4 linked regions of the Caenorhabditis elegans genome follow. The protein of the gene in region 1 interacts with the protein of each later gene in a pairwise test. Each region holds a gene or a part of one and is shown in the gene's direction. Other genes may lie near its edges.

Region 1 (9,304 bases):
TCAATCCTATTCCAAGATCCGTCTTCAGTTGAGTGGTCCATGCTTGATTTGGTTCTGGGGTGCTTTGTACATTTTCATCGTGATGAGTCGACACATTAGGCGTCTGCTCCTCAGCCAAAACTGATGATTCACTGAAAATTAAATTTTTAATAATCTAAATACAGGGACAGAACAACTTACTTTTGGAAGAAACCATCTTCTTTCTCCGGCTGATGCGAAGTTTCTGGCTCGAAAAATACTGGCGCTGCTGCTGGCTCTTCTTTAACTGGTGCAACTGACGGAAGTGGAGGTTGTGGGGAGAGACTCCTCCTTGGCGGAGCTGCTGGTTGAGGATTCTGTGCCTGGTGCTTTCGGAGTGCTTCTTTGCGATGGGCAGCTGCTGCTACTGCAGCAAATGAGATCGGTGCCGGCGCAGAAGATGTGGGAACAGTGGCGGTGACGGATTCCTCTACTGGTGGTTGAACTTCGGTGACTGTGGTATCCACTTTAGTCTGATTCTGAAAAAAAAACACGTTTCGTCATTTTCCTTCTTCAAAAAATTCTTACCTCATCAAGATCAGCAGTGAACGCATCTGGCTCAAGTGCTGATGATGGAGCAACAGCTCGAGAATATCCACCTCTGGCGCCACCTCTTCCACCTCGTCCAACATACGGTTTTTCAAATCCTCCTCGAGTCGAGCGTGGTGCTGCTCCTTCCTTATTATCACGGTTATCCCGATTATTATCTCGGCTTTCTCTTGGAGCTCCATTGGATCGCCCGCGGCCTCCTCGATCGACGAAACCGGTGCCTCCACCTGAAAAAAACATATCAATATTTGATCTATTTCAATCAAGCACGAACCTCTGCCTCTTGCTACAAATCCTCTGTTGTTATAACTGCCCTCTTCCGGCTTCTTCTTTTCCTTTTTGGCTCCTTTCTGTTCAGTCCACGAGTCAAGTTTATCTCCAGCATCCAGAATGTGATCGATTGCGCCGTAAAGATTGTTGTCAGTATCCAATAGCGCTATCTCAGCTTGTGCTTGTGTACATCCGGTGGTTTCGATAATCTGAAAATGAAAAAGACATGAGCAGTGAAAAAACCCCTCTTGGGAATGCGCGAACACTTTAATTAGCCCAAATGAGTAGGACATCTGGGTACTCTTACTCTCGCTGCACCATCTCAAGCGCGGACACCTGCTTTTGTCCTTTTATTTGCCATCTGGCCCCGTCTTATCGATTCGAAATTCCTATTGACACTGAAAGCGGACACTAGAGAAGTTCAAAACAACAAAGTCACGTGCGTCATCATGTCGGTGTGTGGCGAGCGTTCGCGTGATGCAAAGATCACTATTTTCAGGAAAGCGTCATTTCCAGCTTGGAGACTTACCGTCTTGATCATAAACTGTATGTCCTCCTCATTTCCGGAATTTCCTTCCAGTGTGAGTCGTGCAAGTCGCGCTTGATCGCTGGTAGCTTTTTTGTCGCCTTTAATACCCATTCTGAAAACAAATTATAAATAAAAAGGGTCAGTCATGTGAACGCAAGAATGGAATGAGAATCACGAGAATACAACTATCAAAGGAAGGTTGAATGAAAGGAAGGTCAAATAGATGACAAAAGTAGGAAAAGAACGAAATATGGAACCTTCCAGATCAAAAAAACATTATCAAAAGAAAAGCCTCGCACAGAAGACTCTAACGAACATGTTAGGATGAAGAAATATTTCAGCAATACATCACGTTGAACTTTGGAGGATATTCTAGAGAAGAAAACCCCTACATTTTACAATAATTTTGAAATGGAATTCGAATGAACTGCTATACAATGGAGAATCCTATTTAGCGATGATAAAGTGTAGGCTTGTTACTAGATTGAATAAAAATTTCGAAATGTAACAATACATTGACTGAAAATTTGGGTATTTCAGAGTGTGATATCACAAAAATCAATATTTCCACTAAACTCAAAAGTTCTTACGCTGAAAAATCATTAAAAAATTGAAAAATCACCGCAAGCTAGACTAGAATCGCGTTCAAATCTCGCAAATTCCCGCAGTTGAAAATGCGGGCGACCGCGACGCGAGCCGCAACGCACCCCTCCAAACATGCGGCATGGGTCTCGCCACGACCGAAAGTACGGTCACTCTTGGCAGTATAAAAGGCGACCATTTTCCGCTATTTTCCGGTAAATTTTCAAATGAAACTGTGTTGCGGAGGGGGTTTTCCGCTAATTTTGCGGAAATTTAGCTATTTAATGTGAAAATGTGAATAAAACAAAAGAAAGTGGGGAGGAATAGCAAGGAAACACACTGTTGAACCCTGGGAATTATCGATTTTGTATGAACTCTTCTTTTATGGCGTCGAAATTATCGACACGAAAACTCAAAACCTTGTCACATTTCTGAGAGAGAAATATCATTTTCAGCACACATGAGTCTTCCCAGATTTCGACTCGTTCAGGGAAAGGCGATCGGCGAGCGATCAACGCCAGGAGTCAGCACACCAGAGCCGGTAATTGTTTTTTTTTATTTCAAAATTTCTACAACAACAAAAAGAACTAACAATAATTTATTCCTTTGATTCCAGGCCCCTCCGCAAATAAAGCAGGAAGTCGACTACCAAGATGCTCATCAAATGGCTCCGGAACCCGTGGAAGCACCCCGTAAATATTTAAAAATTTAAAAAAGTTAGAAAAAAAATTTGAATCCCAATTTTCAGAGGCTCAAAACCATCAAATGCAGCCGCCTCGTCAACCTATACAACAGCAGATGCAGCATTTTCAGTCACCATCGCCAATGGCTCCACAAGGGCCGCCCGGGACTCCACAAAACTCTGCAGCGGCGGCCGCCGCTGCTTCAGATGACAAAAACGTGACAAAATGCGTCCGCTTTCTGAAAACTTTAATTAATCTGTCGAATAACGATGATCCAGAAATGCCGGACAAGGCCGCCCGTGTCAAAGAGCTAATTCGAGTGAGGAATTGAGCGAAAAACGCGATAAAAACCGGACAAATTCGGATATTTCAGGGCGTAATTTATCTGGAAACGACGGCTGAAGAGTTTACACGAAATCTGCAACAAGTGCTCAAATCTCAGGCTCAACCGCATCTTTTACCATTCCTTCAGAATACTCTTCCGGCATTGAGGAATGCTGTTCGAAATGGTTCGGTTTTATGTGCAAAAAAATTAAAATCGACAAAAAAAAAATCATCGAAAAACAGGAAAATTTGAGTTGAAAAGCAGCGAAAAACTTGAATTTAACATAAAAAATTGCAAAAAATCCGTTGAATTACATTTTTCAAGAAATTGTGTAGAAATTCCATGAAAAAAATTCAAAATTTCCAAATTTTTTGGCTATTTCTAGTCAATTTCTTTAAAATTCCATTTTTGATAGCGAAAATTATCAAGTTTCTAACAATTTCAAGCTGTTTTTGGTGATTTTTTCAATTTTTCGGCTTTGAAATTCCATTTTCCGGAGTATATTGTCATAATATATCCGAGTTCCACAAAATTGAGCAAAAAAAATTAAAAATTTCCCTTTATTTAAAAATATTTTCAGCTGTCAGTAATATATGGATTTTCCGCAATTTTTCTCACAATTTTGAGCAAATTCCTGATTTTCAGCCAATTTATAAGGATTTTCACCCATTTTCATAATTTAGGGCTATTTTCAGCTGAAAAATTGTAATTTAAAGTTTTTAAAATTTTTATAGATTTTCTCAAATTTCAGCTCAAAAATTCGATTTTCAAGCGCATTTCCAGGCAATTTATTAAGATTTTCACCAATTTTTTTAGCTTAAAATTTAAAATTTCCACATTTTTTGTCTATTTCCAGTAAATTTCTTTAAAATTCTATTTTTGAAAGCAAAAATTATCAAGTTTATCGCACTTTTTCAATTTTTCCGGAGTATATTTTGGTAATTTATCCGAGTTCCACGAAATTGAGCAAAACAATTATTTAAAAACTTCCCTTTATTTAGAGCTATTTCCGCAAATTTTCTCGCAATTTTCACGCAATTTTCATAATTCAGGGCTATTTTCAGCTGAAAAATTGCAATTTAAAGTTTTTAAAATGTTTATAGATTTTCTCAACATTCAGCTCAAAAATTCGATTTTGAGGCGCATTTCCAGGCAATTTATGAGGATTTTTACCTATTTTCTAGATTAAAAATCTTTTTTTTTCCTCAATTTTGGACTATTTTCCCTAATTTTCAAATTTCCAGGCACTGCATCAGTTGAAGGCGTAAATCCACCGCCTGGCTACGTTTTCAACAATGGAAGAACCCCAGGACCCCCTCAGCCACCTCCACCTCAACAACAATCCCAGCAGCAGCCACCACTAGAAATGCGTCAAATTCCGAATCCGAATCAAATACCCCCACAAATGGTTCAAGGGGGTCCCCATATGGTATCTGTAGGCGCCCGGCCAATGATCAGGCCTATGGGCCCCGGCGGCCCAAGCCCAATGGGCCTACAAGGCCCCGTACGAGGGCCGATGGGACATCAGATGGTCCAGATGCATCCTCCTCCCCCACCACAGCAGATTCAACAGCAGCACCCGGCTCCCCCTGTAGAAATGGAGGTGGAAGAGAATTTACAGCCTACCGCGGCGGCCACGGCCACGAGGCAATATCCTGAAGGATCGCTGAAATCGTCGATTCTGAAGCCGGATGAGGTGCTGAATAGGATCACGAAACGAATGATGTCATCGTGTTCGGTGGAAGAGGAGGCGCTTGTCGCGATTTCAGATGCTGTTGAGTCGCATTTAAGGGAACTTATTACACTGATGGCCGGAGTTGCAGAACATCGGGTGGAGAGTTTGAGGTATTGAGGAGAATTGATTTTGCTTCAAAATACGGCAGCGAAAAAAAAATTAAGCAAAAATAAGGAAATTATTGAAGAAAAATCGTCTTAAAAACAATTTTACATTAAAAAAAAAGATTTTTAAATTTCAAAGGTTCCGAACTATTTATTAAAAAAACATCTAGATTTTGTTTTAAAATCCAAACAAAAAACATTGCTGAAACGCGGTAATTTTTTTTCAAAAAAATATAAAAATCTGAGAAATATTTTCAAAAATATCTCCAATTTTCCCCTGATTCCGAATATCTATTCGAAAAAATTCAAAAAAAAAATTTCCCTTTATATTTCAGCTTGAAATCGCTTTGTGCATGCACACCATGAGATTTTTCAAATGCGCGCCCAGATAAATTCTCATTGGGGCGCACTTGCTTCGTGTCGATTTACGGGAGCTCTTCATTTTTAAATTTCTTTTAAGCTTTTTTTTTCAGTTTTTCAACGAGTTTCCTTGATCTTCGTCGATTTTTTGTCATTTTTTTTCCTGAAATTTTGTTTTGTGTCAATTTGAAAATTTTTTAGGTCAAAACTCCTGTGTTCGTCGAGATCTGACGTAAAAATATAAAATTCCGGGAGTTTTGAGATATAAAAAAAATATTTTAAAAATTTCAGAAAAAAAACTGACAAAAAAGCGACAAAATAAAAGAAACGCGCAAAAAAAAAAAAAAAAAACTTAAAAAAGCACGAATAAATTTTTTTAAAAAATGGAGAGCTGCCGTAAATCGACACGAAGCAAGCATAAAAAAATGGCTTTTTTCCTAACAATTTTTTGTGAAAAATCCGAATTTTCCATCCTAAACACTACAAAAGATTCCAGAATTCCGGAGAACTACGTGGCAATTGATGACGTCAAACGGCAACTTCGATTCCTTGAAGATTTGGATCGTCAAGAGGAAGAATTAAGGGAAAGTCGAGAAAAAGAGTCGCTAATTCGAATGAGCAAGAATAAGAATAGTGGAAAAGAGACGATTGAAAAAGCGAAAGAAATGCAACGACAAGATGCTGAAGCGAAAAGGAATCGAGATGCGAATGCGGCTGCAATTGCAGCACTTTCCAGTAATAAAACTGTCAAGAATAAGTTCGTTTTTAGCGTGAAATTTGCAGAAAAATTATTTTTAAAAAATAGATTTAAAAAAAACAATTTCCTGACCAAGGGTGTCATTTTTCGATTTTTCGGTTTTCAAAAATTCGAAAAATGAAAGTTTCGTTTTTCGATTAAAAAACTGAAAAACCGACACCTTTGTTTCTGAGATTTGGATTTAGAAATAAGCAAAAAAAAATTATTCAGAAAAAATTGTTTTACAATGCTGCAAAATCGATGAAAAAATAAAATAAATCAATAACTAATTTCTAAAAAATGGAAAAAAATTTCGTTTTTTTCGAATTTGTATTTCACAAAAAAAAATTTTTAGAATAAAAATTTTCAATTAAAAAATTACTATTTAAAATCACTGAAAAAAAATGAAAAAAATAGAAAATTCAGAAAAATAGCGAAAAAAAAGTTTTTTTCCAGAAATTTCGTTAAAACGATCAAGATTTTAACCCTAAAATTTAGATAAAATCAATTTCTTGTGGTTCTTAATTTAAAAAAAAAAACAGTACTTTCCAGTAATAAAACTTTCAAGAATAAATTCGTTTTTAGTGCGAAATTCGCAAAAAAAATTACGAAAAAGTGAAAATAGAAGCTGAAAGGAAAAATGTTTAAAAAATAAGAATATTTTCGACATTAATTGGTTTTTATATATATTTTTTTGTAGAAGTTTAAAAAAATTACTAAAATCACTGAAAAAATTGAAAAAAATTTTAAAATCTGGAAAAAAAGCAACAAAAAATTAATTTTTCCAGAAATTTCGTTGAACTATTCGGTATTTTAAGCCTAAAATCAAGATACAATCAATTTGAACAAAATTTGCTTTAAAAATACTAAAAATTCGAAAGAAATAGAAAAAAAAAGAAATTTTCGAAATTTGGATTTATTGTTAGAGAAAAGCTGAACACTTACAAAAAATTAATTTTTTACGTTTTGAGAAAAATTTTTGAAAAAAAAAATCGATTTTTAAATAATTTTTAGAATTTTTTAGAACTATAATTTTTGAATTTCAGTGACTTATAATCACAGAAAAAAATGAACGAAAAACAAATGAACATCTTTTCGGCAAAAAAACGTATTTTAAAAAAAAATTTAAATTTCTAGTGACTTTGAAAAAAAAACCACATTTTCCAATAATTTCCAGGAATAAACTAAATTTCTTTGGAGAAATTTGAAATTTATTTCACATTTCGAAAAAATTTATATAGAAATAAAAATTTATATGAAAATAAAAAATTTGCAGCTCCTTCCAGTAATGAAACTGTCATTTGTTGAAAATTAGTTTTTTTTTAATTTAGAAATTCTCTTTTCGAAAAAAAAGGTTTTTTTAAAACTTGATTAAAAATTAATTCATTTTTTTCCAAAATTAGGGAAAAAATAATTTCTAAAAAATTAGACAAATACACTTTTTTGTTGAAAAAAACAACATTTTCCAATAATTTTCTTTTTTTTTAAATTGCTTCCACTAAATTCACTTTTTGAAGAAATTTTTTGAAATTTTTACTGAAAATTGTTGGAAAATTATTAAATGTGCATTTTTTTGCAATTTCCAGTTGATAAACTAATTTCGGTTCAATTTAAAATAAATTTCGAAAACCAATTTCAAAAAATTCATTTTTTACAATTTGTTTTTGTTGATAAAACGAGCTAGTTTCTACCAAAATACCGCTTTTTTACATTGAAAATTTAAATTTCAGATGGGAAAACACGGGCGCCGCAACGACAGCACCTCGTCCACGAACAGTACGTGTAACAACTCGTGATCTACATCTTTTAGTCAATCAGGATAGCCGATTCACAGGGTAGCGATTTTTTTTGTTTAAAAAATTTTTTTAAAAAACACCGTATTAAACATTGATTTTTATTGGAAAAAACTGATTTAAAAATTTTTCAAAAAACTTTCAAACGAATGGTAGTTTTTAATATTTTAATTTTAAAAAATTCCAATAAAAATCAATTTTTATACGATTTAAAAAAATTTTGAAAAGTTATCCAATTTTCTCCTAAAAAAACTCATTTTTTTTCCAGAACATTCATCCGTGAAAAGATGTCATACGGTGGTCCGGCAGTCGATACAACTATCTGAACTAAAGAAATCTCATGGAAAAAGGAGCGAAAATTCTGCTTTTCTCGTTTTCTTTTTTTAAATTTAATTTTATTTTTCCACAAATTAAAACAATCACTTTTTTCCAGTCAAATAATAATTATTTCTCATTTTTAAACGAAATGCTAGACATAAAAAAAAGCTTCTTTTTCAGCTTTTCAGCCAAAAATTTCAGATTTTTCAGAAAAAATTCAACAACAAAAAATTGGCAAAGTGCAAAAAAACCAGAATTAGATATTAAAAATACAGGAAAAATCGAGAAAAATGAGTTACAATTCAGAAAATTAGGCAATTTTTTTTTCAAAATTTCTCAAAAACACTGAAATTTCGGTATTTTTTTCTCTACTTGAGCACAACCTCGTGTTGCACCAATCGAACATAGTCTTTGAGCGTCGGTGGAAGTGGAAGCTCATCGATTATTCGCTGATAGACACCGTCGGCACCGGCGATTTCCAGATTTCTACGTTGGCGAAGGTGGATGGCGCGCTGGAAAAATTTCTAATTTCGAGCTGAAAACTCTTTTATGAAAGCAAAATTTCATAGTTTCAATTCAAAGTTCGAATTCCTCGCAAAATTTCAGTCGGAAAACCGAAAACTAGAAGTTTCTTGCTCGAATTTGAAATTTCGAGGGGTACGGTATCCTCGAAAGTACGCAAACACCGAATTTTGTTTTTTTGAAGTTTTGGCGCCAAAAATACAATACCCGGGGTCTCGACACGACAAATTTTTAAAATTTTTTTGAGTACTGTAATTTCAAACAAAAAGTTTTTTTTCGAATAAACTCGAATAATACGATAAAAAACATATTTTAATAAAAACCGTGGCAACGAAAGTTTGAAAGTACAGTACTCTCTTCAAAGGCGCACACCTTTTACGCATTTAACTTTCGTGGCGAGACCCCGGGGATACCGTAATTTTTGACTCAAAATTTAAACAATAAATCCGTTAAAATATTAAAAAATTTTTAGATATTTTTCAAAAAGACTGTCGAAAAATTGTTTTTTTATAATTTTTAGAATATTAACAAACAGTTTAAAAATTCCAACAAATTTTGTTTTTCATACCGAAAAGAAGAAAAATGGACAAAATAGTAAGCTATTTTTGTGTGTCAAAGTGTCTTATTTCGGCTTGATCTACGTAGATCTACAAAAAATGCGGGAGAAGAGACTCAGAGTTCTCAACTGATTTCGCATGGTTAAGAACGTGCTGACGTCACATTATTTTAAGGCGAAAAAATCCCGCCTTTTTTTGTAGACCAAACCGTAATGGGACAGCT
Region 2 (5,439 bases), on another chromosome or scaffold:
AATTTATTAGGGTAATTCTAAATTTTTTTGTATAGAAAACTGAACAGGTAATCCAAATTCAAATGTGTTCCATTTATTTTGATACAAATATAGGTGCCTATAAAACAGGCTTACCGCCTGCCTAGATAAAAACTATTTTTCAAATTAAAATATTCAGACGAGTTACTTTTTTTTTGCGGAATGTGTATTGGTTTACTTGGTTTCTAACGTACCGCTAACCAACTTAAACTGAAAATTCGAGGAAAATAGGGAGAAGAATACTGTAGATATATAAAATTTCTACAAAATTTAAATTCTTTTTACCAAAACCCAAAAATTTTCGAAAACGAACGAGTTACTGTACGAAGTTTGTATATATGCCCGCATAAACCTAGATAAGTAAGGTTAGAAAGCAACTTGAAATTTTCAATGTAGAGAATGTATTTGACTTGCCAACAACTTTGCCATTTCCTCCCGTTTCAAACTACAAAAACATGAACTTTCAATACATGGGACAATTACTTTATAAGTAGGTACACGCGACCCTAAACTTTGTTCACTTTGAAAAAAAAGTGAATTCCGTTTTAAATGTCCATGGCTGACTACATTTTTCCGTATCTTCACTCATGTTTTTCCGATTCGACCGTAATATTTGATAAGATCAAACATTTCCATGACAATCCATTCCTAAACCAGTTTTTCTTCATTTTCAAAAACATTTTTCAGTATCACTAAAGACCTTTTCCCACCTTTTGCTATCTCTTTTTTTCAATTCGAAATTGACCTTCGCACCTTTTCAGAGACCGTCAAATTCTGACACACGATGGAAAGTTTCGAGAAGAAGACTTTCTGGCGGTTTTTGATGAATTCTGTAAAACAAATGGATTGTTTGCTGGCTCCAATGCTCCATCAACTGTAGCCGAGAAATGTTACACTAAAGCGGTAATACACAATGAAAACAGAACAAAGGTTAATAGATAAGAAACGTTTGATTTTAGATTGAAAAGTACATGAAGAAAAACAATATTAATGCAGAGGTGCAAAACAAATCAACACACTTTTTTGCAATGAATGAAAGTCAAATTTTCAAATATAGAAATTATGGTGATACAACATTACCTGATGGATACTCAATTGATATACCTGAATCAACAAATGATGTTATGAAGATTGTAGGATCATCTATCACACCAAATGCAAAATTAGTAGAGTGAGTTTTTGGATCAGGAAATTAAAAACCAACAGTACTAGATTTATATCATTTTCTCACAAAATCGAGAAATCGTAAAACAACAGTTACATGGAAAAATAGGAATTTTTTTCAGAGAAAAACTTCGACGGTTCCCATCGCTCTGCGTTCGTAAAGGCGACGAACTTGTTGGATTCATTTCTTCAGAAACTCACGGAGCACTTGCTCATTTGCATGTCTTTGATGTGAGTTTTACTATTTTCAAATTGAATATTTTCAAATCTGTTTTTAGGGGCATCGTGGTAAAAATCTTGGAGAGAAGTTGGAGATTGGAGCTGCTAAAATGGCTATTGAGTGAGTGATTTTTTGACAAAGGACTGTGGAAAAATGATAATATTTTAGAAATGGAATGCGTCCATGCAAGTTCATCGACACAACAAACAGTTTCTTCTTGGAAAAAGCAAAAAAGTCAAAGTTGATGGATGTTGTTGAGTCCAATGGAACACCGCTAGTTTTCGACCAAAATGTTTATTCCCAGGCGTCAAATTATGGAATGCACAAGTGATTTTAATAGGAATACAATGAACTTACAATAAATCAAATATACATGTAAATATTGAATAAAAATTCGAATACCTTCCAGCAAGTATATTTGCAAAGTAATGTTCTTTTACAGCTAGATTTTGGTCAGACAGTGTTGTTGAAAATTTTTTAGTCGAGAAAATCTAGTTATTCGCTGTTTATGAGTTACTTTTTCAGACAATTACACAATTTCCATGCTTGCTAAAAAAAAATTATTAGTTACAGTAACCTTTAAAGGCGCAGCAGCGGGGAGTGCACATCTCAAACGAGTGTGACCGTAGTCATTGGTGAAAATTGGCAACATTTTCTTGCAAGTTTTTTGACTTTGATTCAACCATAAATTTCAGACTTAATTCTAAACTTAAGTATTAAAAAATAATTATTTGATCTTATTTAGCGCGCATTGCCGCCAAACATTGACTTTTTGTTTCGAAATTTTGGGACAGAGATGGTTTTCTTCAGTTTTCTTTTGTTCAACAACATTTGGTTCTGTTCATTCATTTATTTCATTCAGAAGGATTTTGGCCCGTTTATTTGAATTTTAAAAGAGCTTATTTCTGAATTACGTCGCTTAAAACAATAATTTTATACCGTTTTGGCGCATTCGTTTTTTCTCGTTAAAAACTTATTTCTTTCATTCTTTAGACGGTTGTTATTCATTGCTCGCGGAATCTTACCATTTTTAAAATTTCTTTAAATTTCAGGGAATCAATTAACCGAGCACCCCACGCCTAATCACTAACCACCCATTTCCCCTGCACTACTAACGAAATAATGGATATGCTCAAGGAAAATGTTATCCAGAATAATGAGTGAGCCACTTTTATCATAGTTTCTCAATTTTAATTTTCTTTTTTAAGGGCTCGTACAGAGTCGAGTGTTGAACCATCGCATCCCGATATGATGGAGACTGTTCCGGAAGAACAGCAAAAACCGATTTCTCATATCGACGATTTGCTTTCCGAGACCGCTAACCTGATGGCTGTCAAGGAGCAGCTTCTCAAGGAGATTGCTGAGTAATTCTATAGGATAAATGGACTGTTTCTTAAATTTTATCTTCTCAGAAACGAGCATATTCATTCGATGCAAATGAGAGCTCTTCAAAATCTTCCACAGGAAGCTATTCTCCCACTGCAATATCATGCTGATCCAAGACGCCGTCACCGAATGCAAAAACCGGAATCGTACAAGACTGTCATATGTCAGGCTTGGTTGGAGTCGAAGACATGTGCTTTCGCGGAGAACTGTCGTTTTGCTCACGGCGAAGAGGAGCTTCGTCCATCTCTGTTGGTTTGAACATTGAATTAAGATTACACAACATATTTTACAGGATCGAGGCACGTCAAAACAATAAGTACCGGACGAAGCTCTGCGATAAGTACACTACTACTGGGTTGTGCCCATATGGAAAACGCTGTCTTTTCATTCATCCGGACAATGGACCAAATGCATACATTCGAGCCGATAAATTGTTCGAGGTAAGATAACTTTTTAATTTTCCACTTTAATCAAATCTTCAACAGGTTTCGCAACGTCATGCTTTGGCCGACCTTCGCGATCAAATGGAGCATCATATCATGAATGGAGGTCGTTCTACAGCCGGCCCTCAACAATTTGATATGTTTGCAAGGCCATGCACACCAGATGAGCCAGCAGCAAATATGCCATTGGGTCCAACCCCAGTTAGCATTCGTGGACCACGATACGAGTTGCCATCGAAGAAGCCACTTGAGACTGAGGGTATGAAAATTGAATATTGATGATTAATTCAAAATAATTTTACAGAAGCCGGGAATCGCCCACCATCAAGCTGGCCGTTGGATCCATCAACTTTCTTCGCATTGGATAGTCTGAATATGGCAACTCGTCCAATCAGTCCGTTTGAGTCTATGCTTATTGGAGCAGCCGGGAACATGCAATACTCTATGCTTGGAAAACAATCAACACCGGGAGGAGTTTCGGGATATTCTTCCTCTGGATCAACTCCGTCTCAAGATAGTGATTCGTCTCCACTCACAGCTGCTTCTGCTGCTGCAGATGCTGCCTGCCAAGCCAACTCGGAGTCTGCTCAGTCTATTCTTCTGAAGTCTATCAACAATCCGATGATTGGAAACGAGACAACTCTTCCAATTCCTGGACTTGATCAACTTGCCATGGACATTGCCAAGCACCTTGAATTGTGGTGAATAACCACCTCCTTCCCCATCTATTTATACATTTTGTCAAATTGCCATACGTTTTTATGTCCCATACTAACTATAATAACGCGCGCAATTTGTAAATATAATAAGCTCAATGTTCCTGTCATATAGAAAGCACGCTCGCTCCCCCCATCTCTCGCAGGCTCTGAAACTAAACTTGAATTATTTTGCTGCATTTTATTATATCGGATATCATTGCATGTATTTTCAATTCCCTCCAAATATAAATTGCTCGTATCCTCTCCCCACACTAACAATCAATAAACTTTATCGAATGTCAATCAATGTTTTTGAAGACCATCTGGAAATAACGTTTTTTCACGAAGATATCTGATTTTCAATTATAGAATTGCAAAATAATTTCTGAAATGTTTCGTTTGACAAAAAAATATTTTTTAATCTTCCCTCCAATTAGTTTCGCGACAGGGCGCATTTGCTTCGTCCAGACGAGCGTTAATTTTTCAACAGATTGAGCGCATTCTTTCTTTTAAATTATTGTTTGTGGTTTCAGGTGAAATAAATGGGTAAATTGAATCGATTAGCACTTTTTCATCGTTCAAGAAGGCAATGTGCTTACTCACCGACAATTATTACACGTGAAAGTAGTAGGTAAACGATAAACTAAGAAAATAAAATAACTAATTTTTTCAGCTCCTTTAACATCGACGAGGTAACACAAAATTTTGAACAAAGAACAGAGTTTGCCGCTGCAAATTATCGAAAGAATGGTCAGATTTCCTTGATAATAGTTCTAGGCAAAAAAATATTTTTCAGGCAGTCTATTTCGTATGGTTTTACCCCCGCCAAACGTAACTGGTAAACTGCATTTGGGACATGCTCTAACAGTTGCAGTGGAAGATGCTATTTGTCGACACCAGAGAAATCAGGGAAATAAAGTAAAATTTCACGAAAAATTAAGATGCTTATTTTTATGTTTTCAGGCCGAATGGATTCCTGGATTTGATCACGCAGGAATCGCCACACAAGTAGTCGTGGAAAAAATATTGGCAAAAAATGGAAAGCGACGACTTGAGATGACACGCGAAGAGTTTGTGAAAGAATGCCATTTGTGGGGTGAAAAATGCTCATCTGAAATTCGACAGCAATTGACTCGAATGGGAGCTTCTCTCGACTGGACTCAATCATATTATACTCTCGATTCAAAATTTTCCGAAGCCGTCACAAAAGCTTTTTGCATTCTTGAGCAAGAAGATTTGATTACACGTGGCAAACGATTAGTTCATTGGTGTCCAACACTATCATCTACATTATCGAGTCAAGAAGTAAATCGAATTGATGTTCCATCTGATGGTTACATCAATTTATCGTCGTCAAGTGGAACACGGAGAAGAGTGAAGTTCGGTCAAATGCATGTAATTAGATACAATCTGGTAGATTCTGAATCTGAATTCATTGAAGTTGGAACAACTCGCCCAGAAACTTTGTTCGCGGATGTGGCCGTAGCAGTTCATCCAGAAGATGATAGAT
Region 3 (5,881 bases), on another chromosome or scaffold:
TATTTATCATGACTCATTTTCCCCGCATTCTTTCAGTATTTTTTCTATATAATACCTTGATCCATACTCTCTCTCTCTCATCATCACATGTTGACCTCATAGTGTCTCGGTTCGGGCCGATTAAGTTTTCGATACGCAAACATTTAATGGTAAAAATGGACATGTGGCTCCTCCTTTTTTGACTGAAAGAGGTTTCATTTGGAAAAAGTAGTTTGACATACTTTCCAGTAGTAATTTTAAGATTAGCCAATATTTGAGAGATTTTGTTTCACCGATTATCTCAGACAGCTGCCATTTGTTTTGTTCGTGAAAAAGTTTTTCTTGGTTACTAAAATACTTTGTCTTACTTAGTTAATTTTCTTTTTTTGAATATAATGTAATTTTTCAGATAATCTTCATCCTGTTTTCGTAAACAATTCTATCTGAAATTATGAAAACAAAACGGGATCTTAAAAAGAAAGGTTTGTCTTTATCCTTTGATTGTCTCAAAATTATAAAAAAATCTGTAAAACGAGAAAGAGTTTGAATACAAGTTTGAATTATTTTTTAAAGACTTTCTGATCAGTTATATTAGTAAGAAGCAGAAAAGTAGAGCGAAATCGTGGAGAGTCCACTTGGAAACTTTAGCGCAGTATAGAAAAGTCAGTAACTATAGTCACGAACTTTTCTAATTCAAATTTAAATTGTCTATCATAGTGTATACATGAAATTATCAAAATATGCATATATTGCCATTTCTTCACTTTTTTGCTCCCAGGTTTCCTGTGCTTTAAAGATTTCCCACTTAAATTTATATTGAGAATTGTTCTTGTTCTTCGACTTTCATCTATGCAAAAAATGTTACCGATCAAAGTTTCTTCAAAATTATCACCACAAAAATATGCATTATCAGACCATTTCCCTTTTCCGCAAAAGTTCAAAAAAATTCACTTAAATAGGTTCGTATCATAATCATTGAAACAAATACAGTGATTTGTAGCCTCCTATTTATTTTTTTTATTCAATTCCTGAAATTTGCAGAAGTTTCCAACACTTTCATCACAATGTCTACAATTTCTGATAAATTATCAACGGATCAAAATTATTTTTCAATGCCAACAGCGCCTAAACCAACGAAGCTTTGTGGATATTTTGGTGTTCATAAAAGTTAGTTTGAGAAGTTTTTATTAATTAATTCGAGAGAAAGTGGGATTATTTTCTAGGTTCCCACACGCCTACCTATGCCTGCCTACTTTTTCATATCTTATGTACTTATTTTGTTCTCACAGTGTTAATTTACACAATTATCTTTATTTTATCATCTTATTTGATGAAAGTTAAATTAACAAATGAAAGAAACAACGTTTGCGTGTACAGAAGGCGCGCGAGGTGAAGGCAGGCAGGCATTATTTCTCTCTTTTTTATTTGATTTTTGACACATTAAAGCTTATCTCTTAATAATAGAAAAATTGAAAACAAAAATAACATGAGAATCATTATAAAATTGTTTACATTTTTGTTTTGTTTGTTTTACAAGTGTTATCAAACCTAAAAATACTGATCACAAAATAAATAACAAGGCTATTTTTTTCGATGGATTATTTATTTATAAAAAACAGGGTAACAAGAATGTTAAGGGAGTCGATGAAAAATTTATATTAAAAAATATGTTTTCAGTTGCAATATTTGGAATCAGTTTCAATGCAATTTTCTTATTTGCATTTTACGTTTATGGATTAATAAGATTGATTCAAAAAACACCGAAGAATTATGTTGAATTTATTGGTACAGTTAAATAAATTTAATCTGAATTATTTAGAAATATGGATTTTTCAGTAATCTGCTCCATACTTATCACCATGATCCTCACCTTCAGTTTAATGTTTATTATGGCAGTTTTCCGTGCGAGACCCAAATTTTTACTACCATATATGGTTTTGAATACGATTCTGTTTTTTGCATATGCTGGTGAGCGAAGTTTTTTTTTCGGTGTGGTTTTAATCAGTTTCGCAAATATTGAGAGATTGTGAACCGGACGACCAAATTTGACAGTTTTTAATTGGAAAAAGAGAGATTACAGGAGCGGTAATCGGATCGACAATCACAGTTCCTGATGAAATTAGAGAAGAGGTTAATGGACAAGATCGGAGTTATAAAATTGTTGATATTATTTTATTAAGGTGGGATTTTGAAAAAAAAAGGAAACCTAGGGTATACTATTTTATCAATTTCAGAGTTGCATTGCTGGTATTTGGTGCATTTGAAATATTCTTCATCTATTCGTATATTTGGACGTATATTGATGTTCGAAGGTTGTACCTTTTCAATCGAAGATGAACTTGAAGTTTCTAATTGATATTTTCAACCATTCATTTTTTTTAAAGATTCCTGATTTTTCACACGGGTTTGTCGCTATAATTTTTTGATTGTAAAAAATAAATATGTTTTTTTTTAACTTAAATTAGTGCATAAATTGTTTGATTATAATAACATATCAGTTCACTACAAGCAGTTATAGGCGTGAAAACTTTTGGCCTACAGTACTCCTAAAAGACGCACATCATTTTAAATCGCACACGTGAAAACAGTGCGACCGTAGTTTATGCCCCCGCGTAATATGAAGGAACCATTTTTCAGGCTTTTCTTGAGTATTCCTTGTTTCAAATATTACTTTTCGGCCGGAAATTCTGACATATTTATATTAAAAACTTTTTTTTAAACTTTTTTATTGTGCACCGGCGCCAAAATGTGATATTTTCTCATAAATGCCATTCGTATCTGTTTTGTTCGCACTCAAGTATTGTTTTATGTAACGTGTTTTTGTTTTTCAGTAGGATCATTTGATTTTCTTTTTCAGAACTTACAGCTCGCAACATCTTCCGGAAATCGAGTATCTCCGGTGTTGATTGTTAAGCATTCCCTGCACCCGATTACTTACACTATTCACATCCACTCAACTGCATCAATATGAACGTTAACGGTGAAAACAACGAGAAGATCGATGAGTGAGTTTAACAAAATTCAAATGAAAAAGTAATTTTATGTTATTAAAGGCATCATCTCGAGAGCTCCCTCGCTGGCGTTCCAACTTTGCCCGTTTCACCACTCGATCACGCTAAGGACTTGTCTCAAACTAATCCGAATGCCCAGATTGGAGATTTGGTTACTCAAACTGCTAACTTGATTGCTATCAAAAAGCAGTTGCTTGAAGATATTGCATTGTGCGTTGGCTAATTTCCTGAATATCTTCAATTTACTACATTTCAGCAACCAACATATTCAATCGATGCAAGTTCGCGCGATTCAGAGTTTTCCCCAGAACAACCAGGTTGCACCTCCATTTCAACAGTTTGATCCTAGACGCCGCGGATTAGCCCGAATGCAGAAACCAGAATCATACAAGACTGTGATCTGCCAAGCTTGGCTCGAATCTAAGACTTGTTCTTTCGCAGACAACTGCCGGTTTGCACATGGAGAGGAGGAACTTCGTCCAACATTGTAAGAATGAAGCAAACAAATTATGTTAATTCCAATTTTTAGCGTCGAGCCGCTGCAGAACAATAAGTATAAAACGAAACTCTGTGACAAATATACGACTACAGGACTCTGCCCATACGGGAAACGGTGCCTTTTCATTCATCCCGATCATGGACCAAACGCATACATTCGCGCTGATAAACTTCTTGAAGTCAGAAGAAAACATGTATTTTTGCTCACTGTAAACATTTTCAGGTTTCTCAACGCCATGCATTGGCTGACATTCGTGATCAAATGGAGCAGCACATCATGACTAATGGTCGCATTGCAGCTCCCCCGCTTTCTGCCATTCAGCATCCTTTAGAAATGTTTGCCAGGCCATCAACTCCAGATGAGCCAGCGGCTAAATTGCCACTAGGACCAACTCCTGTTAGTACTCGTGGTCCAAGATATGAGCTACCAACGAAGGAATTGCATGACGCGGAAGGTAAAAATTGGCAGCTAGTTGCAATTAATGACCTCTGTTTTAGGTGCGATGACCTATCCACCGTCTCGCTGGCCATTGGATCCATCGATGTTTGCTCTAGACGCTTGGAATATGGCACATCGGCCAGCTAGTCCACTCGATTCGATGGTTTTGGGTTCCGCTCCAAATGCTGGCTCGTTCGGAATGCTCGGAAAGCAAAATACTCCTGGAGGAGTTTCTGGATATTCATCTGCTGGATCCACGCCTTCTCAGGATCTCAGTTCTTCGTCACTCAATGCAGCATCCGCAGCTGCCGCTGCTGCATATTTCGCAAATTCTGCTGTTGCTCAATCTCTTCTGATGAAATCTGTCGCAACTGATCCAATGATGTCATGTAACGGACCATTCTCTCCAATGCCAGGATTCGATCAATTGGCCGAAAATATGACCAAGCATCTCAATTTGTGGTGAACAACTTCTCTACATTTGTCAAATTTTTAAACACTTTCAATATTCGTGTCCCCCATACTAACTAATAATGCGTGCATTTGTGAATATAATAAGTTTTAGTCGACGTGTTCTTGTCCCATAGAAACTTGGCCCAATCGTCAAAAGCGCCCATTCCCATTTTAAATTCTCGAAATTAATATCGAATCTTGTGATGTATATTGTAATTCATCGAATCATTGAATGTATTCCAATTTTCACCGCTCGAGTTCCCGATTGCCTTCTGTCTCACTAATCCCTTCCCCAATCTCAAAATAAATTGCACCTGCCACGGATCATAATTGTGATTCTTTTTTTCTATCTTTCTTTCTTCTCAATGGCTCCGATACTGCCCGTACGTATTTTTCTTTCGTTTCTTTGTTCATTTAAAATTTTTATCCGAAATTTCCTTCTTGATCCTCATTGCAGGATGTAGTAAATTTTTTTGATCGATTCAATTTTCAAATTTATTGAAAATCAGGTTATATGTTCCAACACGAAAACTATCTAAGTACGTACCATGAAAAAGCAAAATAATATTGCAATTCAAGTTAGCTTTGTTCTCAATATGAGAACATTACGGTTTTAAAGACTTTATATGCATGCATGTTAATTAGTTTTTTCCCAACCGTTTAACCGATAATAATACATTTATTTTTTTAAATTTTAAGCTTCGCGTTCTTGACTAGGTCATAAATTGTCGATATTTATAAAACTGTTAATTGTGGGTAAGCTTGATCAATCACTTGATTAAATCAAAAGTGTCTAGGCTCTATTCAAAATATGCGCCAGTCAACACTATTTGCGCATTTTCAGTGCGTTTGCGCTTATTCTGTTGAACACTTGCTTTACAAACTCGCCCTGCCTTTTGTTGTTCTACTAAACAAGCTCTCTTTGCCGTTAATCTTCAATTTTTTCAGTTAAAATATGAGCGAAGAGCCGGCTGCAAAGCGAATGAAAAATGCCGATGAGTTCCCAAATCTCCGATCCGAAGTAGCTGGTCCCGTGAAGGAAAAGCTAATCGAACTAGACGCCATTCAGCACCAACTAGATGTGATGAGTGAAAACGCTGCCGAAGAAGTTTTGAAAGTCGAGCAGATTTTCAATCAGAAACGTCTTCCGATTTATGAAAAAAGAAAGAAGCTGACAACAAAAATCGACAATTTCTGGCAGACTGCTTTTCTCAATCATCATCTTCTTTCAACTGCTATTCCGGAAGAACAAGAGGACTTGTTAGCCGCTCTGCGAGATCTTGAAGTGCAAGAATTTGAAGATCTTCGCAGTGGATTCAAAATAATTATGACATTTGACCCGAATGAGTACTTCACAAACGAAGTAATTACAAAGTCGTATCATCTGCAATCTGAGTCACCGAGCACCGAAATTACCGAAATCGAGTGGAAGGAGAACAAGAAACCGCCATTCGTGAGTTTATCTTTATAATCCCTATTGTTTTAATCGAATTTTTTCTAA
Region 4 (8,987 bases), on another chromosome or scaffold:
ATTTTACAGCTGAATATGTGCTTTTTTAATTTCAGATTTGATGGCCTAATTGGGAAATTCTAGGCCACCAGCCATTGCCGATGAACATATTACAAATTTCAAAAAATTATTTTCTTCAAAACCAAACACCCAAATTTTTTTTAACTACCAATCTACTAACCGATTATACTAACCGATGTCTGAATAATAATATAAGCACAAAAAATTAATACCCACCGTTCAAAATCTGACTGAAATTCCAGTTTTAGTTTAGCTCCCAATTAATATGTATTCCAATTTTCAAAAAAATTATTTTATTCAAAACCAATCACACAAATTTTTTAAAACTTCACCAATATACTAATTGATCTTTGAATAATAATATAAACACAAAAAATTAATACCCACCGTTCGAAATTTGTCTGAAATTTCAGTTTTAGTTTAGCTGAAAATGAATAAAAATTCAAATTTTCAAAAAATTATTTTCTTCGAAACCAAACACCCAAATTTTTTTCAAACTTTACCAATTTACTTACTGATGTCTGAATAATAATATAAACACAAAAAATTATTACCCACCGTTCAAAATTCGACTAAAATTCAAGTTTTTCTTTAGCTGAAATTTAGTAAAAACTCAATTTTCAAAAAAACATTATTTTAAAACCAAACACCCAAATTTTTTTTTAACTTTACGAATATACTCGATTATGACCGAACAAAATTTTACGCTAATATCCAGTTTTACTTTGACTTTTCAAAACCCTCATGCGCCTTTAAACCTCGGTGTACTGTAATAACTCGATATTTTAATTGTTTTTATTGCCTTTTCCTCAACCAATGTTAGATAAAATATGTTTTTCCATTTCCAGTGATCACATGGTACAGTTATATTCAATTAAAGAAAACAATCGCGGCGAGACCCAAAAATGTACTTCCCAATTCGATCCCAATTCTTTCGCAAAATAATGACAGAGTGGACAACAAAATGTGACATGTTTGTTTTTATAAGACGTCCGCCGTCGTCTTTTTTCTGTTTACTTGCACTTCCTCGCAACGGCGTGGCCTAGGTTTTCCCACGGCCACGCTCATTTAGGTTCTAATAAACCACACTAGTGAGAGAGAGAGAGAGATAGTTGCGAGAAGAGACGGAAAAGAGCTAGAGAGGTCTCTCGTTCTCTTCATTGGCCTCAATTTCTCGCCACCACCCCCTACGTCTCTATTCCCCCAATGTCCTACATTTTTCGGATCGTTTTTCCCTTATATCAGAATCTGCCTAATTTTACGAGGTTTCGGCGCATAATATTATGTGCAATTCGAGAATAAAACTTTGAATATTTATTAGTTTAGGTCTTTTTCATTGATTTTTTCCAATAAATTCAATTTGATTTTAAATTGCTTGAAAATCGCCACCGTATCACTTTAAAGGCGCATTGCTGTTGTTTAACTTTGGGTCTCACAGCGAACCGAGTTTCAGTCATTAATTTTGATTTTTCCTTGGTTTTTTTTAAAAGAAAATTCTCAAAGTTAAAATTTTCACTCGGTTTTAAAATTAATAATAGCTAGCAACTATAATTCTGGAAAAAACATAAATTCACTTTAAATTGCCTAAAAATACAACCGTATAAGTTTAAAGGCGCATTGCTATTTTTAAGTTTGGGTCTCACAGCGAACCGAGTTTCAGTTATTAATTTTGACTTTTCCTCGGTTTTTTAAACTTTATTTGAAGAAATTCTTCAAAATTAAAATTTTTCTCGTAATATTTAATCAAAAATAATAATTAGCAACTAAAAATTCGGAAAAAAATAGAAATTGCTTGAAAAGTTTCACCGTATAACTTTAAAGGCGCAATGCTTTTGTTTAACATTGGGTCTCACAACGACCGAGGTACTGTGGAAAATTTATCGAATTTAACGAATTTATTCATTTTTATGAATATATTTCCATTTTCCTCGGTTTTCCGAAAGATTTTAAGCTTTAAAATCATCAAAAAAAAACTTAGTTGCAGATAAAAAATGAAAATGGAAGAATTCTCACCTCCAACTTCACCGAATAATCACGTAATCGTGCAGGCGAACCCGCAAATCGCCGCCGCTCTCTCCACGAATTCTGTAAGCGATTTGTGTGTCCGCTCTCTAATTATTGCTTTCTGTCCCAACAATGACTCACCGGCCAGCCGACAAAAAAAAAACAAAAAAAACGAATAAAAATAATAAAAAATCGGAGCGCCTCTCCGTTTTTTTTCCCCCGTAAACGTCCAAAGTGTATGTGTATTATTCTCATATCGATTGTGCTTCTCTTCTTCCCCCGACAAAACCATTTCCATCACAAAAGCTTCTCGTCGTCCTCTGTCCATATATATATATATATTTACTAATACTAAAAAATGTGGCCCTACCATCATGGATATCACGTCTATCACCCACATTTTCAGCCAATGCAGCAGGGAATTCCGCCACAAGGCCATCAGAATCCCAACGAACAGCAGCAGCAGCAGCAGTTTGTGGGCCAACCGCCGATGGGTGGAATGGGCGGCCCGATGAGAATGCAGATGCCACAGCAGCAAAGTATGAAGAAAAAACTCCTAAAAAATGCCTCAAATTCAGAAATAATTCCGTGAAAAATGAAAAAAAAATTGCTCAAAATTTAGCTGAAATCTCCAATTTTGTCCTATTCCGCCTATTTTAGTCGGCTATTTTACGTTTTTTCCGAAGAAAAAAGAAAAAAATCGCGAAAAAGTGAAAAAGTTAACTCGAAAAACATGATTTTTCGAATTACCTCCAAAATGAGAAATGCCTGAGCAATCAGCGATTCGCTCCGCCCACTTTTCGACCAATCAGGTAGATTGGGCGGAGTTTGAAGATGCTGATTGGTAGGAAAATACTCGAAAATTGGTAAATTAAATATTTAAAAAAAGCGATTTTTAAAATGGAATTCTTTGAATTTTTTAAAAGCGATATCTACATTTACACAAAGCCGCCTTAAATTACACCTAAATTAACGAAAAACGTGAAATAAATATGCAAATTAGGATGAAAATTGAATAAAAATCAATTTCTAGCCACCCTGGCACCGAAAAAATGGAGATTTTCGCTAGAATTAGGCGATTTTCGGAATGTCTGGTAGATCATGGTGTGATCTACAAAAAATGCGGGAATTTTTGGCCCAAAAAAATGTGACGTCAGCATGTTCTTAACCATGCAAAATCAGTTGAGAACTCTGCCGCATTTTTTGTAGATCAACGTAGATCAAGCCGAAATGAGACACTCTGACACAATGTGTGGTTAGGAAATTCGGAAATTCAGCAAAATTGGAACAGCGACCAATCAGCGACCGGCTCCGCCCACTTTTGGACTAATCAGACGGAGTGGGCGGAGTTTGTAATCGCGATTTTCTCCGTTTTTTTTTTTGTGGTTTTTCTGAATTTTAATGTATTTTTGGATATTTTTAAAGAGAGTGTAGTTGAATTTTTTTTTTATTGCTGTATTAGACTCAAAATTGTCTGAAAACATCGAATTTAATAATGAAACTTCTTGAAAACTTTTCAGGAAAAAGTTATGATGGCTCAAAAAATGGCCTAAAATTAGTGCATTTCTTGCATTTTCAACTTGATTTAGGTATTTAAAAATCAATGGACGGCGAGATTTTTAAATTTTTTTAACGATTTTTTTCCGTTTTTTTTTGTGGTTTTTCTGAATTTGAAACTATTTTTTGGATATTTTTAAAGGTGGTGTAGTCGAATGTTTTTATTTGCTTTATTAGACTCAAAATTGTCTGAAAACACCGAATTTCATAGTGAAACTTTTTGAAAACTTCTCAAAAAATAAGTTATGACGGCTCAAAAAATGACCTAAAATTAGTTAAAGTTTGAAATTTGACCAACTTATCAATGTCGCAGCGGCTGGAAACATTTTTTTTTGAAATCACCGTCAAATTTTGAGTATATAAGTTAATTACCTTGTGTTTTAAATTTGATTAAGGTATTTAAAAATCGATGGACGACGAGATTTTTAAATTTTTTAAAACCAAATCTCGCCGTCCATCGACTTTAAAATACTTAAATGAAGTTGAAAACGCAAGATAATTAAATTGTATACTTAAAATTTGACGGTGATTTCGAAAAATTGTTTCCAGACGCTTGGCTAGTCGGTAAAATTTCAAATTTTAACTAATTTTAGGTCATTTTTTGAACCGTCATAACTTATTTTTTGAGAAGTTTTCAAACAGTTTCACTATGAAATTCGGTGTTTTCAGACAATTTTGAGTCTAATAAAGCAAATAAAAACATTCGACTACACCACCTTTAAAAATATCCAAAAAAAATAGTTTCAAATTCAGAAAAACCACAAAAAAAACGGAAAAAAAATCGTGATTTTCAAATTTTACTAAAATTAGCTCTCCGCCCACTCCGTCTGATTGGTCCAAAAGTGGGCGGAGCCGGTCGCTGATTGGTCGCTGTTTTAATTTTGCTGAATTTTCAAATTTCCTAACCACACATTGTGTCAGAGTGTCTCATTTCGGCTTGATCTACGTTGATCTACAAAAAATGCGGCAGAGTTCTCAACTGATTTTGCATGGTTAAGAACGTGCTGACGTCACATTTTTTGGGCCAAAAATTCCCGCATTTTTTGCAGATCACACCATGATCTACCAGACATTCCGAAAATCGCCTAAAATCTCCATTTTTTCGGTGCCAGGGTGGCTAGAAATTGATTTTTATTCAATTTTCATCCTAATTTGCATATTTATTTCACGTTTTTCGTTAATTTAGGTGTAATTTAAGGCGGCTTTGGGTAAATGTAGATATCGCTTTTAAAAAATTCAAAGAATTCCATTTTAAAAATCGCTTTTTTAAAATATTTAATTTACCAATTTTCGAGTATTTTCCTACCAATCAGCATCTTCAAACCCCGCCCACTCCGTCTGATTGGTCCAGAAGTGGGCGGAGCGGTACGCTGATTGGACGATGTTCCAATTATGCTGAATTTCCGAAAATCGCCTAATTCTAGCGAAAATCTTCATATTTTCGGTGACTACACCGTCTCTTTAATAAGGCTTCTCATGAAATAATTCGTAATTTTAGTCCGCCAAATGCCATACCCATCACCACAAATGCGTGCGGGCCCTCCACCACCACAGCAGCAGCAGCAGCAACACTTTCAACAAATGGGTATTCCACAACAGCAGCAGCCCCAACAATTCACACCGAATGGGCAATCAATGCAAATGCAACAGAGACCAATGCAGATGGGCATGGCTCAAGGGGTACGGGGGCGGTTATTATCTGGGAAATTTGAATTTAAAAAAAGCTTCCGTTTGAGACCCAAGAAAAACCTTTTTTCGGGAATTTGGGTCCACGGGATCAAAAATCTCTGAAAAATTGTTCTAAAAAATGTTACAAAACAATTTCTGCAGTGGAGCAGCGGAGCAGCGGTGAAAATTTCAAGGCTTGTATAATTTCTTCAAAAAAAAAATTTTTTTTTCGCATATTTTGGGCATTTTTAAGACTTTTTCTGCAGTTATTTTTGGAAATCCGCTTAAAAATCCTCTAATTTTAAAATGTTTCCAGCCAGGACCATCTGGACATTTAATGGGAATGGTCGGAGGGCCTCCGCCACAACATATGATGCAGCAGCAAGGAGGTGGTGGACCACCACAATTTGTGGTGAGTTTCCGGCAAAATCGGCAAATTGCCGGAATTGAAATTTCCGGCAAATCGGCAAATTGCCGGAATTGAAATTTCCGGCAAAACCGGTAAATTGCCGGAATTAAAATTTCCGGCAAATCGGCAAATTTCCGGAATTGAAATTTCCGACAAAATCGGCAAATTGCCGGAATTGAAATTTCCGACAAAATCGACAATTTGCTGAAATTAAAATTTCCGGCAAATCGGCAAATTGCCGGAATTGAAATTTCCGACAAAATCGGCAAAATGTCGGAATTCAATTTTCCCGCAAATTGCCGGAATTAAAATTTCCGGCATATCGGCAAATTGCCGGAACTAAAAAGGCAACGTTTACCGATCGAGCTCGTAAAAAACCGGCAAATTCGCCAAATTTGTCGTGGCGTAATATTTTTTGGAGCTCAAAAAGAGCCCGATTTAATGGAAAAACTATAAAAACCATTAGTTTTGGGCAAAATTTTTCAAAATTTCCAGCCAAACTCGTCTCCAATGCCGCTGCCTCCTCAACAAATTATGCAAGTACAACATCAGCAGCAACATCAGCAGCCACCACCATCTCAACAAATTCAACAGCCTCCAATTCCACAGCCACAACAGCAACAGGCACCGCCACCTCAAATGATACCGGCCGCTGTTCCGTATGGAAGTATTATGGAAAAGGTGCAACAAAAAACCGGCAAAAATACTTAGAAATTTCGGCAAAAAAACCGGCAAAAATACTTGAAAATTTCGGCAAAAATACTTGGAAATTTAGGCAAAAAAACCGGCAAAAATACTTGGAAATTTCGGCAAAAAAACCGGCAAAAATACTTGGAAATTTAGGCAAAAAAACCGGCAAAAATACTTGGAAATTTCGGCAAAAAAACCGGCAAAAATACTTGGAAATTTCGGCAAAAAAACCGGCAAAAATACTTGGAAATTTAGGCAAAAAAACCGGCAAAAATACTTGGAAATTTCGGCAAAAAAACCGGCAAAAATACTTGGAAATTCCGGCAAAAAAATCGGCAAAAATACTTGGAAATTTCGGCAAAAAAGCCGGCAAAAATACTTGGAAATTTAGGCAAAAAAACCGGCAAAAATACTTGGAAATTTCGGCAAAAAAACCGGCAAAAATACTTGGAAAATTGATTTTTATTTAATTTTGAAATTTTTTCAGAAAAAATCGAATAAAGCTCAGATTTTCCGATTTTTTTTCAAAGAAAATCGAAAAAAATTCAGGTTTTTTCAGGAAAATTTAAAAAATTTTCTGATTTTTTAGTTTTTTTTTCAATTACAAATTTCTCTAGCAAAAATTCGCAAAAAAAAAATTTTTTGGATTGTCTTTTCATAGAAAATGAGCAAATTTCAGATTTTTCGGTCTTTTTTTTCAGAGAAAATAGGAAAAAAAATGCACAAAGAATTCACGGAAGGGGACGAAAAAGCTATAGATTTATCAAAAAATATGCTGATTTTTATTGAAAAAAGTGATTTTTTTTTTCTATAAAGTATTGAAAAATGGCCGGAATTTATTGAAAATTCGATTTTTTTTAAACGAAAAACGAAAATTTCCAATTTTTCAATACAATTTTTAAATTTTTTTTTGAACTTTGAAAAAAATTCGAACTTCTGCATACACTAGTTTTTGCTTTGCTCCTGAAAAAATAATGAAATTAAAAATGGAATTTTTTGTAAATTTGCTATTAAAAATTCGATTTTTAAATTTTCACTGAAAAAAATGCCTAAATTTTTGGTAATTTTTCTTGTAAAAATTCTTGTAAAATTAAGAGTTTTTGTTTAATTTTCTAATTAAAAAATTTTAAATTTTCGATTTTCAAGATTTTCAAACAAAAAAATCGAAAATTATAACAATTAATAAAAAAAAAAAAAAAAATAGCCTAAAATTTTCGTAGTTTTTTTTTTTCAAAAACTCTATAAAATTTTTTTTTCCGATTTTTTGATTTTCACTGAAAAAACCGAAAATTCTTATTTTAAAAAATCTTCTTTTTTTTAAAATTTTTTTTTCAGTCAAAACTGGATGATTTGATGCAACAAATCAGCTCAACAACAGTACTCGAAGAAAATGTAAAAGATGTTCTTGTGGAGTACGCCGACGATTTTGTCAGTTCTCTAATCGATAAAGCATGCAAAATGATCAAGAATCGGGAGGTGAAGAAAATTGAATCACGGGATATCGAATTTATTCTCAAGAATGTCTATAATATGCCAGTGGTACGGCGTTTTTATTACTGATTTTTATGTTTTTTTTTGATATTTAAAATGGTCTAGAAAATACGGATTTCGTGAAAAAAAAATTAGAAAAAAACGCCTAGTTTTAGCTAAAATCTCTAATTTTTGACTATTTTTTTGGAAAAAAAATCTTCTTTTTTTTGTTGATAAAAATTTTCATCACAAAATAGCTTTAAAAAACCGGATTTCGTAAAAAAAAAACGCTTAATTTTAGCTGAAATATCTACTTTTTTACCGTTTTTCGATTCTCCAGTATTAAAAATTTTACCTGAAAAATACAGAAAATCGGGTTTTTTTTTCGATTTTTAGTGTTTTTCAGAGAAAAAATGTCTAGAAAATATTGAAATATTCATTAGAAATTTTTTTTTCTCCGAAAAACCTTGTAAAATCGGAAAAAGAAGAAAAAAAAAGTGTTAGGATATATGGATTTATCAAAAATATGCAAAAAAATGTGCAAAAATGTGCAATAACTGTGCAAAAATGTGCAATAAATATGCAAAAAAATGTGCAAAAAATGTGCAAAAAATGCGCAAAAAATGTGCAAAAAATGTGCAAAAAATGTTCAAAAAATGTGCAAAAAATGTACAAAAAATGTTCAAAAAATGTTCAAAAAATGTGCAAAAAATGTTCAAAAAATGTGCAAAAAATGTACAAAAAATGTTCAAAAAATGTGCAAAAAATGTGAGACAAAATTCGAGTTTTTCAGCTAAAATTAGGTGTTTTGGCTCGATTTTTAATCTAAAAAATCAGAAAAAATTGTTAAATTTCAGGTTCCACGCGCTGCTTCGCACAATTTTGGGTCTCAAACGGAAGTTATTGATTTATCGAAGGAAAAGTTTGTTCCAACGGAAGCACACAAGCAACGGGTTGCTCTACTCAAGAAACAAATCAAGAAACTTTAAAAATTAATTTTTTTTTGTTTTAATTTTAATTTTCCATTCAAAAACCTCCTTTTCTCCGGGTCTTCCACGATGAATTTCCTCTTTTTATGACAAATTTTTTTTCTTCATTTTTTTGGTTTTTAAAAGGTTTCAAGTCCTTGAGTAATACCTCCAACACTTCAGATTTGGTAAATTTCGTGAGAAATTAGAATTTTTTTTTG

Evidence for each region.
Region 2: the proteins of taf-4 (region 1) and oma-2 interact in a two-hybrid assay, tested with the Caenorhabditis elegans proteins (one study listed by BioGRID).
Region 3: the proteins of taf-4 (region 1) and oma-1 interact in binary tests that used the Caenorhabditis elegans proteins (3 or more experiments, as listed by UniProt).
Region 4: the proteins of taf-4 (region 1) and taf-12 interact in a two-hybrid assay, tested with the Caenorhabditis elegans proteins (one study listed by BioGRID).

Annotation. Positions count from the first base shown.
Region 1 is NC_003279.8:380,425-389,728, forward strand, and holds taf-4 (Transcription initiation factor TFIID subunit 4), read left to right. Parts: upstream 1-2,401; 5' UTR 2,402-2,408; coding exon 2,409-2,489; intron 2,490-2,564; coding exon 2,565-2,640; intron 2,641-2,696; coding exon 2,697-2,950; intron 2,951-3,004; coding exon 3,005-3,140; intron 3,141-4,200; coding exon 4,201-4,801; intron 4,802-5,651; coding exon 5,652-5,912; intron 5,913-7,621; coding exon 7,622-7,726; intron 7,727-7,952; coding exon 7,953-8,010; 3' UTR 8,011-8,140; downstream 8,141-9,304. Other genes in the region: Prion-like (glutamine/asparagine-rich) domain bearing protein pqn-59, read right to left, coding at 1-131, 181-497, 547-794, 842-1,046, 1,367-1,477; R119.5 (Protein-L-isoaspartate O-methyltransferase domain-containing protein 1), read right to left, coding at 8,371-8,514. UniProt on the Caenorhabditis elegans protein: The TFIID basal transcription factor complex plays a major role in the initiation of RNA polymerase II (Pol II)-dependent transcription.
Region 2 is NC_003283.11:8,026,985-8,032,423, forward strand, and holds oma-2 (CCCH-type zinc finger protein oma-2), read left to right. Parts: upstream 1-2,454; 5' UTR 2,455-2,524; coding exon 2,525-2,562; intron 2,563-2,610; coding exon 2,611-2,766; intron 2,767-2,814; coding exon 2,815-3,036; intron 3,037-3,080; coding exon 3,081-3,228; intron 3,229-3,273; coding exon 3,274-3,490; intron 3,491-3,535; coding exon 3,536-3,936; 3' UTR 3,937-4,230; downstream 4,231-5,439. Other genes in the region: F43H9.4 (Glycine N-acyltransferase-like protein), read left to right, coding at 780-921, 978-1,189, 1,305-1,413, 1,461-1,522, 1,571-1,733; vars-1 (valine--tRNA ligase), read left to right, coding at 4,472-4,560, 4,603-4,679, 4,726-4,847, 4,893-5,439. UniProt on the Caenorhabditis elegans protein: Zinc-finger RNA-binding protein that binds to 5'-UA[AU]-3' motifs in the 3'-UTR of maternal mRNAs to suppress translation in oocytes and embryos.
Region 3 is NC_003282.8:8,886,140-8,892,020, forward strand, and holds oma-1 (CCCH-type zinc finger protein oma-1), read left to right. Parts: upstream 1-2,836; 5' UTR 2,837-2,946; coding exon 2,947-2,984; intron 2,985-3,032; coding exon 3,033-3,200; intron 3,201-3,246; coding exon 3,247-3,477; intron 3,478-3,519; coding exon 3,520-3,667; intron 3,668-3,711; coding exon 3,712-3,943; intron 3,944-3,986; coding exon 3,987-4,393; 3' UTR 4,394-4,860; downstream 4,861-5,881. Other genes in the region: C09G9.5 (MARVEL domain-containing protein), read left to right, coding at 431-461, 1,021-1,146, 1,657-1,764, 1,816-1,947, 2,060-2,159, 2,214-2,316; spr-2 (Suppressor of presenilin-2), read left to right, coding at 5,336-5,833. UniProt on the Caenorhabditis elegans protein: Zinc-finger RNA-binding protein that binds to 5'-UA[AU]-3' motifs in the 3'-UTR of maternal mRNAs to suppress translation in oocytes and embryos.
Region 4 is NC_003281.10:11,862,279-11,871,265, reverse strand, and holds taf-12 (Transcription initiation factor TFIID subunit 12), read left to right. Parts: upstream 1-1,984; 5' UTR 1,985-1,991; coding exon 1,992-2,087; intron 2,088-2,410; coding exon 2,411-2,543; intron 2,544-5,059; coding exon 5,060-5,241; intron 5,242-5,545; coding exon 5,546-5,641; intron 5,642-6,133; coding exon 6,134-6,319; intron 6,320-7,663; coding exon 7,664-7,867; intron 7,868-8,655; coding exon 8,656-8,787; 3' UTR 8,788-8,873; downstream 8,874-8,987. UniProt on the Caenorhabditis elegans protein: Part of the general transcription factor complex TFIID. Plays a role in recruiting taf-4 to the nucleus and thereby activating transcription initiation by RNA polymerase II, as part of the TFIID complex.